Linked DNA regions of Oryctolagus cuniculus. The protein of the gene in region 1 purifies or fractionates together with the protein of each later gene. This does not show direct contact. Links are inferred from orthologs where the notes say so. Each region holds a gene or a part of one and is shown on either strand. Other genes may lie near its edges.

The links.
Region 2: the proteins of NEUROG3 (region 1) and C1QBP purify together in Homo sapiens (affinity purification with mass spectrometry; 3 studies listed by BioGRID and IntAct, counting the BioPlex papers as one, with this or other methods). This does not show direct contact. The link is inferred for Oryctolagus cuniculus from reciprocal best matches to the Homo sapiens genes NEUROG3 and C1QBP.

The regions. Positions count from the first base shown.
Region 1 is NC_091446.1:61,288,678-61,295,967, reverse strand, and holds NEUROG3 (neurogenin-3), read left to right. Parts: upstream 1-3,569; 5' UTR 3,570-3,809; intron 3,810-3,963; 5' UTR 3,964-3,964; coding exon 3,965-4,612; 3' UTR 4,613-5,045; downstream 5,046-7,290. UniProt on the Homo sapiens protein: Acts as a transcriptional regulator. Together with NKX2-2, initiates transcriptional activation of NEUROD1. Involved in neurogenesis. Also required for the specification of a common precursor of the 4 pancreatic endocrine cell types.
Region 2 is NC_091448.1:50,898,143-50,906,013, forward strand, and holds the end of C1QBP (complement component 1 Q subcomponent-binding protein, mitochondrial), read left to right. Parts: coding exon 1-69; intron 70-3,825; coding exon 3,826-3,919; intron 3,920-4,906; coding exon 4,907-5,002; intron 5,003-5,238; coding exon 5,239-5,361; intron 5,362-5,480; coding exon 5,481-5,630; 3' UTR 5,631-5,849; downstream 5,850-7,871. Other genes in the region: RPAIN (RPA-interacting protein), read right to left, coding at 6,032-6,061, 7,052-7,192.

The DNA.
Region 1 (7,290 bases):
GAAGCCCACCGCGCTGCTCACTCCCCACCCAGGCTCTGCCACCCCCTCAGCTGGCACAGCAGCCGTTGGGTGGGGAGCAGCGCGCTGGGCAACACCAGGCTGCGGAAGCGCCCCGGCTCCTGGCAGATGAAATATGGGGCTGGTAAGCCCCTGGAGACCATATGCTTTCAATAAAAGAAGACAAATAGGACCGAGATAGGCCTTGCAGCCAACCTGTTATAAATGAGTGGCAATTGGGCCAATGTACACGGGGGCAGGGCCGGGGGGAAACCTTCTCGGTGCCAAATCCATGTGTCAGCTTCTGAGACAGGTGTGCCCAGGGGCCAGGGGCCAGGTCTCCCCCTCCGGGTTTATCACGGCAAAGGTAATATTGTGCTAACTATGAGTAAACAGTCATTGTGAAAACGAGGGAGAGTTTATCTGAGGAGAACTAGTTGGGGGGTGGCTTAACAATAAACTTGTCCGCCTTGGGAGCAGGTGACGGCTGGCTGTGCAGACTCCCGCGCTAGATGTTTTCCAAAGCACTCCACTTTACAATCTCTTGTAATTATTTATTAAACGAAATCTATTTATTATTATTTTAGCAAACACTGGAGACAGGTGGGGCTTTCTTTTCGCCGTCTCCTTTTGTTTGAAGGGCTGTTTGAAGTGGCCCGTCTCGGCCCGGGCAGCTCGCTCGCCAGATTTTTGTCTTCTCCTCTTTCAGTGCCGAGGCGAAGGCGAGAGAAAGAAGCCCCCTTCTCTGGCAAGCCACTAGCTATTCAGCTTCCTGCGGCCCCCCTCCCTCCCCACTCCGTTCTCAAAGAGCCCCCAGGCAGTGCTAAGACCCCCCTCCCCTGCCGACGGGAAGGCGGTAGGAGCAGCCGCTGCCTTCCTTCTTTTCCAATCTGCCCGCGTTCTCCAGGCGCCTGGCTGTCGCCTCTCTCTTGGACCCTTTCATCCTCCAAGCAAGCCTAGTTCCGAAGGAATCGAGGGGCGCGGGGTTCCTGGAGGCGGTGGATGACTAGGAGCTGCGGGAACGGGCTCTGCTCCGGGCGGGACCAGCGGTTTTACAAACATAGCCAGGGCGCACGGAGCGGTAACCATTTGCGCCTCCGCCGCCAAAAGCTCAGGAATTAACTTTGGATAGGGGTCTGTACGTCCCCGGCAGCCAAGAGGGAGGGCGTTGATTACCAATTTCGAATCTCCAGGGACTCTTCGACCTCCGCCCCCACTTCCTGGCCGGAGCGAGAGCGGCGCGCATCCTTGCCTCTGCAGGGAGGCAGCTGATTCCGCCGCGGCGCGCGCCTCTTCCTAACTGCTTTTTGCGCAAAGAGGAGTGGTGGCGGCCTGAGAGCCCTAGAGGGCTCTGAGCTGAAGGAGTAATGGGGAAGCTGGATTAGAATTCCCGGCGGGTCTCAGAATCCTCTATAATCAAGACAACCCCAAAGAATCCCAGAATCCTCTCAGGCGCAGGCAGCCTCCCTGTGGCTCTGGCCAGTACCCATTAGGCCATGTTCTCGCAACTCCACCTCTATATCAGAGTCTCAGCTGTGGCCTGCTCTTCAATTCTCCAGGGACTCACAAGGGTGCTTGAGTCCCTCGTGGTCAGGGCTCCCTCAAAGGAGCCTGGAGGGGACCAGGGGTCCTAGGAACAGGCTTTGGGGTCCTCTCCCAGACCCTAGTTTTCAAGGCTCTAAATCCTGCAGGAAAGTGGAAAGACAAGACGAGTGTGTGTGCAACCACCTCTCCTTGGCTGGGAGATGGGGGCCATTAATTTTTTCCAGTCCAATCCAATCCCATCAGTCTTCACACACTCAGGACTCCCTCTGAGGTCTCTCTTGCCTTGAGAAAACATTTTCCTCCAAATTAAGAAAAGCAGCCTGCGCAAGGGAAACATCCAGGACTAGGAGTCAGGATGTTAAGTTCTATGTGGTTCTGATAGAATAAGCTGTATGACCTGAGGCACCCTTCCCCTGGCCTTGATTTTCCCATCTGTAAAGGGGACCTCCAGTTTTCATTATGACAGACAAGCTTGTGCCAAGTCCTGACCTAAGGGAGGAGCCACAGCAAAAATGCTGAGCCAAAAATCCCTTCTGGTCCCTTTGATGGCTCCTACCCTGACCCCAAACTTCATTTCCAGGCAGCAAGGGTAGGTGCCTCTGCTCCCAGCCCATCAGCTGAGATCCACAGGAACTGTGAGACCCCTGCCCAATCCTGCAGCCTGCCTCACCCACCGGCCCCCAAGCATCACACCCTCTGTTTTGGAGAGAATTTCACCCACCATGCAGCCTGGGTGGTGGGAGGCTGACAACAGGGCAGACCCTGAAGACCTATATCACCCCCTCATCGGATCTCCAGTCAGCTGGGTCCTGTGGCCTGCTTCCTGCAGATTCGGCAAGGCCCAAGGTACCTGCACCTGCTAGAAATGGAAGCCTTTCACCACCTGGGAGACTGAATCTCCGACCTCAGCTTCCTTCCCAGGCACATCCTGGTCAAGAGAGAGGTATGGAAGCAGCAACCCCTCTCTCCCTGAGTGACTAGAAGCAGAAGAGTGTCTGAGGCAGGGAAGGGAGGGGTAAAGAGGGAAGAGGCACTCTGGAAAGACTTCCAGACCTGCAGACAGGCAGGCGAAGGCTTTGGACAGTCCCTGCCCAGTGCTGCCGGGAACCCCTGTGTGATGCTCCACAGGGAGCCGAGCCAGGTGAAATAGGCAGCCCTTGCCCCCTGTGGTTGGCAGGAGTGGGAGTGGGGGACTAAAGTGAGACACGGCTGATCCCCTTATCCCAGTGCCAGAACACCCACGCATTAGCAAGACCCAAGGCTTGCCAAGAACGCCTGGCCCCCTCTGGACCTCTCACACTCCCCACCCCCAGCTCTGGGCACCCAGGCCCTGGTCAGAGTGCTAGGTTACTGTCTATGAGTGGGAATGGCAAAATATCAGTAGGGGATGGGAGTCTGGAGGAGGGGGTGACAAAATGTCTGAGCCCCCCAGATGGGGATGAGGAGCGCAACTCAGGGAGGGGCAGGGGCTCGGACCCCCCTCCCCAGGGCTCTGAATGGAAGGGGCATAGACCAATCTAACTCCCCGATAGAGTCCCTGCAGCGCCACCCTAGGACCCGTGGGGCAGGAGGGCAGGGTAACCTTTTGGACACCCGGCTACTCAAGCGTCCAGGCACCATCTTGCTGTGCACTTCCGGGCGAGCCGACTGGCCCTCCGTGCCTCTATTGCCCCTTGTGTAACACGCGGGAACTGGCCTTGCCCGCAGGCCTCCTAGGGTTGCCGAGAGGGTCTGGAGAGATGCCGAGGAAAGACGGGATAGGAGCAAAGCGGTCTAGGGCAGCGGGAGGCGAGCCAGACGAGCCTCTTCTCGCTAGGCGAGGCTCTTTGAGGAGCCGAGAGTTGCTGGGACCGAGCCCGCGGGGAGAGAGCAAACAGAGCAGCGCTCCCCTCCCCTCGGCCCCGGTCCTTTGTCCGGAATCCAGCTGTGCCCCGCGGGGGAGGAGCGGGCTCGCGTGGCGCGGGCCCCGGGCCCCTGCGCTGATTGGCCGGTGGCGCGGGCAGCAGTCGGGCCGGCACGCTCCTGGCCCAGGCCGAACGGATAAAGCGTGCCAAGGGGCACACGCCTCGCAGCTCAGACAAGCCCCGCGGTCTCTGCCGGCTGAAAGACAGCGAAAGAGACCCGGGACCCCCTTCACTCTCCTCTTCTCCTCGGAGGCTGGGGCAATTCCCAGGCGGGGGCGCTTGCAGCTCAGCTGAACTTGGCCGGAGAAAGGAGCGCTCAGCTCCCCGCTGCTCACGGCTCTCTATTTGCGCCTGCACAACAAGGTAACACTTGGAGGCCACCGAGGGGCGAGCGAGGGTACTGGGGGCCCTCGGATCGGGAGGGGGTGTTTTTCAGTTTTCCCCCACCTGGCCTCGGGATCGGGGACCGCCCTAGGTCACTGTCCCATTCTTACCGTTAGTTCTTACCCTGCGGCAGGATGGTGCCTCATCCTTTGGGTGCGCCCACTCTCCGAGCGACCCATGAGACCGAGCCACCCTTCCCCGGAGCTTCGGACCGCGAAGTGCCCAGCGCCTTGTCCGCCCCGCCTAGCCCCACACTTATGCTCCGGGACTGCGCGGAAGCTGAAGGAGGCGGCTGCCGAGGGGCAGCGAGGAAACTCCGGGCGCGGCGCGGGGGGCGCAGCCGGCCCAAGAGCGAGCTGGCGCTGAGCAAGCAGCGACGGAGTCGGCGCAAGAAAGCCAACGACCGCGAGCGCAATCGCATGCACAACCTCAACTCCGCGCTGGACGCGCTGCGCGGAGTCCTGCCCACATTCCCCGACGACGCGAAGCTCACCAAGATCGAGACGCTGCGCTTCGCCCACAACTACATCTGGGCGCTGACGCAGGCGCTGCGCATAGCCGACCACAGCTTCTACGGGCCAGAGCAGCCAGTGCTGCCCTCTGCGGAGCTGGGCAGCCCTGACGGCGGCTCCCCCGGGGACTGGGGCTCTCTCTATTCTCCAGTCTCCCAGGCTGGCAGTCTGAGCCCCGCCGCCTCGCCGGAGGAGCGCACTGGGCTTCAGGTGCCCAGCTCCCCCGCCTGCCTGCGCCCAGGCGCCTTGGCTTTCTCAGACTTTCTGTGAAGTGGCCACTCGGTTGCTGGGCAGAGGGTACTGGGAGAGGAGGCAGGCGGAGCGACTGCGGGTGGGCAGTGGCGGCCCTCAAACAGACTTGCGCCTCCTGCTCCTGACCGGCCAAGGCGCCCGCGGGGCGGCAGGCTGGGTTCCATTAGGCTGGCAGCAGGCCCTCCGCGCCTCGAAAACCCCTGCCGCCGCACACAAGGCCGGCATTGCAGGCTCGAGCATGGCTCAGGTCCTTCTCCCAGCACCCACTTACGCACCTCGCTCAGAGAAGAGGAGGATGGTAGCACCACGCCCCCGCAGCCCCCCCCCCCGCGCGGCCCGATCACCCTACTCTCACTCATGCCCACCCCTCTCACAGTGTAACTGAACCCCACATGTGGTCTCTCGGTGCTTGCTCCCCCAACCCCCACCCTACTCCAAAGACGCCGCTTACTTCTTCTACCCGCATCCAGTCCGGGGTCTGGAGCTGCCCCACACCGCCTCAATTTTGGAGGGCGAGCCCCTGCCTTCTCCTCTTGCACTTTTCGAAGCCATTGCCCTCCCGGGCGCTGGAGACCAGGCTGTGAATTGGGAAAGCACCAGCCAGCCAGCCGGTCGCAGGGACCACCTTTCCAGCCTCCTTGCCTCCTGCGCAGGACACGTGAGTTGGAGCAGCAGGTGCCTGGAGCCCCGCGCGTCCCTTAAAAAAGAAATCAATTTGTAAATCATGTGATGCCTTTTGGAATGAGTTTTGGTATGGTAAATTATATAGCCTTTCCCTTGTTCTACACACTTGTATTTATTATGCGATTTCACAGCAGCAAAAGTCTATATTTTGTACATAAGAGTATTTAGGGACTGGTGAATGAACTTTTGAATCAATAAAAACAAAATCCTCAGGACACCTCAGCAAGCTCAGTTGTGCTGCCAAGAGGGGAGGGCTGCAGCCGGTGTGGCTGAAGAAGGGGTCCCTCCCGTGGGCGCTGGGCTGGAGGCCAGGGGGGTTGCATTCCGAAAGCTGGAGTCACTTAAGAGATCATTGGCCCAGCCCCCTTGTTTTCTTTGTGGGGCAGCGAGTTGTCTAATTTCAAAACGTGGTTTAGCAGAAAGATGAGCCTCTAACTGGGGCTGCAGACTGGCACTGCGGGCGCTCTCCCCTGTGCTGCCAGCCTGGCCTTGGATTGACTTGTACTTGAGAAGGGGGAGAGTCCTCAGAAACACCACCGCTGGGTTGGGCATCCCAGGAATCTTCCTCAGGCGCTTCAAGGTGTAGCACATCCCCCTAAGCGCATTTTACGCACCAGGCACTGCTGCGGCAGGCAGCCTCTCAATTCATGGAGCTGAGTAATGGGCAGTGGAAAAGACAGAGGGTCCAGCTGAAACCTCTGGCGCCCCCTGGACACTTGGCTGCCTGGACTGAAATTTTATTGAGAAACGGTTCGAGCGAGGTTGCCAGCCCCGCGATCTCTCTCGATCTCTCTCGTGCCCTTACCAGGGATAATGGGGCTGGTTCCCCACCGGCACCAAACCAGTCCCCAGGGCGCTACTGGAACGCCCTCTCCCAGGGCTTTTGGGACCCTTAAGGCCTCAAGGAAGCTGGTGTGCACTGCAGGAATTGGCAGAGTCCGTTTGACTCTTGGGAAAAGGAAACTAGATGGGGGGGGGGGGTGCCCTACCTGCTAGTTGAACCTGAGAGGTCTCCTTGGGTTCACCTAGGAATGCTGTGAAGAAATGGGGCAACTCTGGTAGGGGCAGGGCTGCCTGGGGTCCAATGATGGAGGACAGGCAGCTTTCCAGGCATCGCCACCTCTGGCCTCTCTTTCTCCTAGGCCACCTCCCCAGTTCATATTCAACTGCTCCTTTCCTCTACTCTCAGGTCCCTAAAGGTAGCTCATAGATTTGTCTCAGTTAAGGGGTGGGAATGGGGACACAGCAAACAAAGAATGAACAGAGGTGTTGTTTCATTTCAGGGCTTTAATCTAAGAGGAGGAGATTAATGGGTTATTAGTGACCTGTGCAACAGCCAGTGTTCCATCTGGGGCACCGCCTGGGGGCAGGTGTCAGCTGCCCAGACCGGGCCTGTGCCTGCTACTTGTTGGTGGGGGTGGGGGCAGGGTGTGGGCAGAGGTAAAAATCAGCGTGATCTCTGCCCTCCAGGGGCAGTAGCATGGATGTAGACCAAATGACTCAAAGCCAAAGCAGTATTGGTGCTAGGCAGAGGTCTGTTACCTGGGCTTGGTTGCCAAAGATTTGCCAAGGGGGTGGCCCTGGGGCTAGGACTAGAGGTTTAGGGAGGAATCTCTCAAGCAGGGAGACCTTCATCCTTTGCAGGGCTGCTGGAAGTGGCACTCAGGTAGGCGGGGAGCCCCTGAAGTTGGTGGAGTGACTGTGGACACTGCTCTCTAGGCTTCCAGCAACTCAGGCAGCTGAGGCCTCACCCTTTGCTCAGCCCCTCTCCTGCTTTCCAGGGCACTCATCAATGAGCCATTAGTCATCCAACACACACAGGCTGGTTCTCTGCCCGGCAAATTAAAACACACAGGTACAGTCAGAGCAACTCAGCTGCTGGGCTGTTGCTTTGGGTTGATGTCAGAGCTCTCAGCCCCACTCTCCAGGTCAGGAGGAGCTGGAGGAAAGTTTAGGTTTAGTTTAGGGCTTGGTGCCCTGGACAACCTCTACTGATGAGTAGGAAATGGCAC
Region 2 (7,871 bases), on another chromosome or scaffold:
GTCTGGAGGCTGGGAGCTGGAGGTGAACGGCACAGAGGCTAAACTCGTGCGCAAAGTGGCCGGGGAGAAGTAAGTGCACGGCGCGCCCCGGGGTGCGCGGCGTGGGGCGGCCTCTGGCTCGGGACCCTAAGCTCGCTGGAGCCACATGTCAGCCACCCCGTGTGACTTCACAGCGGGACCCTTCCGCAGCCGCCCTGTCCCTTCTTCCCCCTCCGGCCCCTTGAAACCGCCAAGCTGCCTTCTCTGGATTTGCCTGTGTGGGACATTTTGTGTGAGTGGGAGTCATGCAATATGTGGCCATTTGTGTCTACCTCCCCCCCCCCCCCCAAGATTGATTTATTGGCTTGAAAGGTAGAGTTAGAGACGTCTTCCATCCACCCCAACAGCCAGAGCTGGGCCAAGCTGGAGCCAGGAGCCAGGCAGCAGGCACTTTTTCCATGTCCTCCCACGTGGGTGCAAGGGTCCAACACTTGGGCCAGCTTTTTTTTTTTTTTTTTTTAAGATTAATTTATTTGAGAGGCAGAGAGTAAGAGAATTACAGAGAGAAGGTTACAGAGAGGCGTCTGAGCAGGGAGCTGGATCCAAAGCAGAGCAGCCTATGGGTGCCAGCGTTGTAGGCAGCAGCTTAGCCAGCTGTGCCACAACACTGTCACCCCCGCACCCCCGTTGTTTTTGAGGTTCATTCATACTAGTAATAGCATGTACCAATAGTTAGCTTTTTTAATGACAACATAATATTTCATTATGTGGATATGCTAGATTTTATTTATGTAAGGAAATGGGAGACAGACCAGAGGAGACAAGATACGAAGTCAACGGCCAAAATCAATTAAGAAGAAAAATGGGAGCCAGCGCTGTGGCATAGCACGCTAAGCTGCCACCTGCGGTGCCTGCATCCCATATGGGTGCCGGTTCAAGTCTTGGCTGCTCCACTTCTGACCCAGCGCCCTGTTTCTGCTCCTGGGAAAGCAGCGGAAAATGGCTCAAGTGCTTGGGTCCCTGCACCCACATGGGAGGCCTGGAAGAAGTTCCTGGTTTCCATCTGGCCATTGTAGCCATTTGGGGAGTGAACCAGCAGATGGAAGATCTCTTTCTAACTCTGTCTTTCAAATACAATAAATAAATCATAAAGGAAAAAAAAAAAGACAAGTGAATTTGCAAAGATGGCCAACCACTGGCATGCGCACAGACAGAACACGTGGCCGAGAGAGCAGGAATTTATTTACGGGCTGGATTTAAATAGCATAGGCCTGATAAGGGCCATGAGGTGCAGTGGAGCTGAGCTAGCTTTTCTATGGAATGCAGAATGCAGAGGGTAGGGTGGGCAACAGTACAGGGCGTAGGACTGAGCTGGTCTCTTGAAGGAAGGTAAAGGGTCCCTCAGGCAAAGAGCCACAATGCCTGAGGCTCATGTCCTTGTTCTGTCAGTTATCCATTCATTTGTTGGCAGGCATTTGACAGGGTTCTATTTACTTTGTGATTCTGGTTTTTTATTTATTTATTTTTTTAATTTTATTTATCTGACAGATAGTTATAGACAGAGACAGAGAGAAAGGTTTTCCTTCCGTTGGTTCACCCCCCAAATGGCTGCTACGGCCGGCGCTGCGCCAGTCCGAAGGCAGGAGCCAGGTGCTTCTCCTGGTCTCCCATGGGGTGCAGGGCCCAAGCACTTGGGCCATCCTTCACTGCCTTCCCGGGCCACAGCAGAGAGCTGGCCTGGAAGAAGGGCAACTGGGACAGAATCTGGCGCCCCGACCGGGACTAGAACCCGGTGTGCCAGGCGCCGCAATGCAGAGGATTAGCCTATTGAGCCACAGCGCCGGCCTTTACTGTCGTTTTGAAAGACAGATAGCTCCCATGTGCTACTTCACTCCCTAAATATTGAAATGTCCAGGTATAGGCTACGCTGGAGCTGGGAGCTGAATCCAGGTTACCAGGTTATTGCCTTAAAGGTGGGCTTTAGATATTCTGGGTGCAGTTCCCCTTATCAGACACAGGGTGTGCAAGTGTTTTCTCCCATCCTTGGGTGTTTTTTTCCTTTCCCTATGTTATTGGTATTGACATACACTTTTTTTAGTTATTGTTTGACTACACCAAGTGAACTATTTTTTTAAAGATTTATTTATTTATTTGAAAGAGTTACGCAGTCACTCCCCAGTTGGCCACAACGACCAGAGCTGTGCCAATCCAAAACCAGGAGTCAGGAGCTTCTGCGTCTCCCACATGGGTGCAGGGGCCCAAGGACTTAAGCCATCTTCTATTGCTTTCCCAGGCCATAGCAGAGAGCCAGGTATGGAGTGGAGCAGCCGGGTCTCAAACTGGCGCCCATATGGGATGCCTGCACTGCAGGCCAGGGCGTTGACCCGCTGTGCCAAAGCACAGGCCCCAACATACACTTCTAATTTTGATGAAGCTCAATTTACTGGGTTTTGTTTTTTGTGTATGTGGGCTTTTTTTTTGTTTTTTTGTCATTTGTGCTTTTTTGACATCACATTTGACAAACTGTTGGGTAACCAAAGTTTCTAGATATTTATGCCCGGATTTACTTGTAAGAGGAGTTTAGCTCTTTAGGCCCGTGATCACTTTGAGTCAACTTTTGTGTACAGTGTGAAGTGTAGGGTTCTGATGCTTTTTCCCCTAGGGTGCAGGGGTTTCGCCCATACACAGTGTCAGTTGACGACTGAAGCTTCACTTGAACTTTTCTTCCGGTTTTCGTAGCCAGTTTGGGGCCGTTAGAAATGATACCCTGATGAACAGTGCTGTGTTTCTGTGTCGAGGAACTCAGCTTGGTCAGCGTGGTTGCAGATAGTTTCTGGGGCTGAGCCTCAGCCTGCCGCTGTTGCCTTGGGAAGGAGCAGCCCGTTAGCTGAGCAGTGGTGTGCAGGGTGCGGGGTCTGCGCTGCCCAGCCACACCTGGTCTACCCCACTGTCACAGGGATTGTGACTCAACCTTCGGAACATGGAATGTCACGAGGATTCTTGTACCTTACGGTTGTCATGTGTTGGTGTTCCAGCCCGTGGGATGAGTCCACAGTGAACGCACTGTCCTTTGCCTGGCCTTGTCTTCCAGGGCGCAGGCCTGCTCTGAGTCCTCAGGTGTATCCCCGCAGTGTGCCTTCCCTTCCTCCCAGCGGCAGATTTTGTCATGGAGAAAGCTTTTTTTTTTTTTTTTCTTTTTAAAGACTTGTTTGTTTGAAAGGTAGAGTTGTAACTCCGGTTTACTCCCAGATGGCCACAACAGCTGAGGCTGGGCCAGGCTGAAGCCAGGAGCTTCCTTCAGGTCTCCCTCATGAGGGGCAGGGGCCCAAGCAGTAGGGTCATCTTCCACTGCTTTTCCCAGGCCATTAGCAGGGAGCTAGCTCGGAAGTAGAGCTACTCCACGAACCAGTGCCCGTATTGGATGCTGGCATCATAGGCAACGCCCTATCCTGTTGTGCCACACCACCAGCCCCGAGAAAAGCTCCTAGAGGGGCTTCTGTTCCATCCCCCCAGCTTCTTATCTGCTCACTTTCACGATACCCCACCCCAGTGAGCAGTGTCAGCTGGTGGTAGGTAACCAGCAGGCGCTAGCCTGATGGGAGGAGCTGGTGCATGGCGTCATCACTTGGAGCTCTGCACATGGAGGTGTGCTGGAGACCTGCTCCCTCTTAGGGCTGGATGTGGGTACCCAGCCTCTGTCCACTTCTGCCAGTGTAGACTGTCAGCTGGTGAAGGGGAAACATCGTTCCTATCAGATTGTTTCTGTGTAGCAGGCCTCCATACCTAACGGCTAGACTACTCCACTACAACTGGACCATGTCTGTTGCGTTTCTTTTGACTTTGTAGGATCACTGTCACTTTCAACATCAACAATAGCATCCCACCAACCTTTGATGGTGAGGAGGAGTCCTCCCAAGGACAGAAGGCTGAGGAACAGGAGGTAAGCTCGTAATATCGTGCCCAGTCTGTGCCTCAGCTCCCCCAGGGGCCTAGAGAAACACCAGGTTTTCTTGTTTTTGTTTTCAAAGATTTATTTGAAAGCAGACTGACAGGGACAAAGATCTTCCATCCTCTGGTTTACTTCCCACATGGCTACAGCAGTCAGGGCTGGGCCAGGCTCAAGCCAGAAGCTCCATCCAGGACGTCACCCATGTGCCAGGCCCATTAGCAGATAGCTGGACCAGGAGTGGAGGAGCTAAGAGCCTGTGGACAGGAAGCAGAACTGAGTCCTTCCCATGACGGGGAGATGTGTGCTATCAGAAATCACCGTTTTCTTTTCCCCGGGGGAGGATGTTCCTAAGTCAGAAGCTGGTGGAAAGCACCAGTCACCTGGCCAGAGTAGGAAAGCCAGGGGCAGCAGAGATGGCATCACTTGGCCAGGTGCGATCTTGGCTTGCCGGCCGTATCGGTGGGAGCTGGGGGTGTCTGGTTTTCTGACATTTTAGGAAGTGGTATACTCAGCCCGGAAGCCCGCCAGTATGAAGGCCAGAGGGTCTCTGACCTTCTGACCGAGTTGTCTCACGCGCCTGCAAGGAGAGCCCAGCTCCCTGAGCGCTTCCATCTCAGCCGCCTGGACTGGCAGCTCCCTGACTTTGGGCTTGGTCTGCTCCTGTCACTGAGGGCCGGGCACGCCAGCCTCTGACCTGGGCTGTAACAGACTCCTGAGACAGCCAAGCCGGAAAGAGATCTTGGCTGTGTGGCTGGCTTTGCAGTGTGTGGGTGCAGAAATGGGTTCAGGAAGTAGAGAGATCTGAGTCTCAGTTGAGTGCATAGAGCTGGGGCTGGAATGCAGGTTTAAAGTGAGTGTAAAGGGCTAAATATCATCCTGACAGGGGTGGCCATCAGATGCTCAGAAGCGTTGGAGGCCTGGCCTGGGCTCTGACCCCTTCCTATAGTGGCACACGCAGACGTGTTTTTGTTTCCTCAGCCTGAACTGACATCAACTCCGAATTTCGTGGTTGAAGTTATAAAGAATGATGGCAAGAAAGCCCTCGTACTGGACTGTCACTTCCCGGAGGATGAGGTGGGTAGAACGGAGTGTGGGCCCTTGACACCCAGGGAGATGAGGGGTGCCTCCTGGGACTAGCAGACACCTGTGGGAGACTGTGGCTTAGAGCAGCAAAGCACGGGAGACAGGTGGCGCGTGGAAGTCAGCTCAGGGTAAAGCTGGGGTTTCACACTAGAAGTGCTCCCTTTTCCGTGCACCTGTCTGGCTTGTCCTGAAAAACCCGTGTTTCCTGGAACACTGTTCCTTCCCAGGTCGGACAAGAGGAGGAGGCTGAGAGTGACATTTTCTCCATCAGGGAAGTTAGCTTTCAGGCTTCCGGCGAGTCTGAGTGGAAGGACACCAACTACACACTCAACACAGACTCCCTGGACTGGGTGAGTGACAGGGTGGGGTGCTCTTGGGCCTTGTAGGGGAGCGTCCTGCCTTGTTCAAGGAGAGAAAGCAGCATTGTCATTAGTGGGCATTACACAGTGTAACACACTGTTTTCCGCAGGCCTTGTATGACCACCTGATGGATTTCCTGGCAGACCGAGGGGTGGACAACACTTTTGCAGATGAGCTGGTGGAGCTCAGCACCGCCCTGGAGCACCAGGAGTACATAACTTTCCTTGAGGACCTCAAAAGTTTTGTCAAGAGCCAGTAGAGTAGGGACAGTGAAACTTGTCTGGCAGGCTGTGGCCAGCGAACAGAACCTGCTCTGACCCCCAGACACCCGTGCGTTGCGACGGTTACCATCCCAATATCATGGAAAATAACATTTAAATTATTACTGTTGCACTCTCATTTTTTTCTGTACAAACTTATTCTAGATTTTTATATAACATACAATGATGGACAATAAATTTGGTTTTATCTCCTCCAAGGTACTTCGTTTTTTCTGTTCCTTGACTTTCAACCTAGACCACGAAACAGCAAGAGCAGAGGTGTTTGAAAAGTTTTAATACAAAATAAATTATAAGTTAAAGGTTGCTATGTACAAGGCCTCTGCTGGAGAGGGAGTGAGTTGTGGTCGGCCCAGGAGAACGGTGCGAATGCAGGCCAGCTCTAGACGATCACAGCCCAGGTGTCACAGGCCTGGAGTGAAACAGGACATATCTGTTAGGAAAGTTACCCACATCCGTGGCCAGAAGCTGCAACCAGTAATGACACTGAGGCAACAATTAGAATGTCTACACCCTGGACGGTGCTGGTCGGCTTCAGTTACAAGTGGGAATGAGTTCAGCCAGAGCGGCTGGTCCTCAAAGGGGCTGCTGGTGGACCGACCTCCCAGGCTTGCTGGAATGTCTACCTTTGACTGTTCATCCCTGGGAGCCTGATGAACCACTGTGCTTCCTCCTGTTTCTCACCTCCCCTCCAAAACGCCCAACAGTGGGCTCGCCCGTCCTGGAACCAGCTCTCGCTATGAAATCCATACCTCAAGTTTTCATAATACATGTTTCCCATGAACTTTCTGAAGACCCCTCGTGCACAGATTTTAGACATTTTTGTGCCAAAATAAAAATATTTTACTTCCATACCCTATGAACTTTCTGATCACCTTAATATATGTGTGTGTATATGTATATGTAATATATCACTTATAAGAAATAATGGTTCCTGTAGCAAGCTTAAGGCGTCTAAGACAGGTGGCTCCAGTACCTCCTTGTGTAGTCCTGTCCCTCACACCTGAGTTGCCAGACACTAATCCTTGGACTTCTGAAGACTTGCTGAAAGGTGGCCCTGCTGTGCGTCCTGTCCTGTACCCACCTGCAGGGGTGTCAGGGTGACCCACTGGGTCTTAGGACTACCGAGCTGACTACACAAGCACAGTGCAGGTGGGCTCCCTGACCCTCCCCCACCCCCACCCCCACACTCCTGCCCCACTCCTAGGCTGCCTCTTCCCCTTCACACAATGATTGGCCTCCAGCTGAAATGACTTGTGGCCTTCACAGTTCTGTGCCAGCAATTCCTCCAAGAAAAAAAAAACTGCATTAAACATTGACCTGTTTGGGAGCCATTATTTTTACTAGAGTGGGAAGACAACACTGAGCTGCTGGTAACCACTGGGTCCCAGGAGAGACTTACCAGACAGCTCATGAGAAGACTGGGCTTCTCCTCTGTTCCACCGGTGACTGAAAATTCAGGGGTGTGGGGACAATGGGTGCTGTGCTCATTCACGCTGTCCTCTAAAGACGCTCGAAGCATCTGCTCCGTCAGCTCTGGAGACTAAAAAAAGTTCGACCACAACCGCGTCTTAGTTACCTGACAGCTGACAGGCTGAAAATCCTGGTTTCTCTTGCTAACCAGCGTAGCACTGGCTCCCTGGGATGGCTTCCTCCCCCACAGTTGGAGATCTGCGTGGGCTCATGGCTGCTGGGAGGATCTCTGAACCAGTGTCCACTCACCACCTCTCCAGATTGCCCAGGGCACCCCCCGTTCCTGAACTTTGAGAGCTAGGAGGACAGGTCCCGGCCTCGGCCCCTGCCCCTCCTGGCCTGGTGTATCCTTGCCAAGAACTGGCAGCATTTGCTCCCAGAGATCTCACTGAACCTGCTGCCACTGCAACTCCGATGGCAACCAGTAATAAAGGGGATGGAAATCAAGTTTCAGTTTTATGATGAGAAGCAGAAAGTTCAGGAAGCACTCAAAAAGGGAAGTTGCTTTTGAAAAAGTTGGGTGGGCATTTGGTACATTGGTTAAGATGGGCCCATCCCATATTGGAGTGCCTGGTTCGGATCTGCTCCCACTCCAACTCCCTGCTAATTCACACTCTAAGAGGCAGCGGATGGTGGGGCACGTAGTTGGGATCCTGTCATGCACACGGGAGACCTGAACGTTCCCAGCTCCTGGCTTGGGCTGCTGGGAGTGAACCAGCAAATGGGGCTGGCTCGTGCTTGCTTGCCCG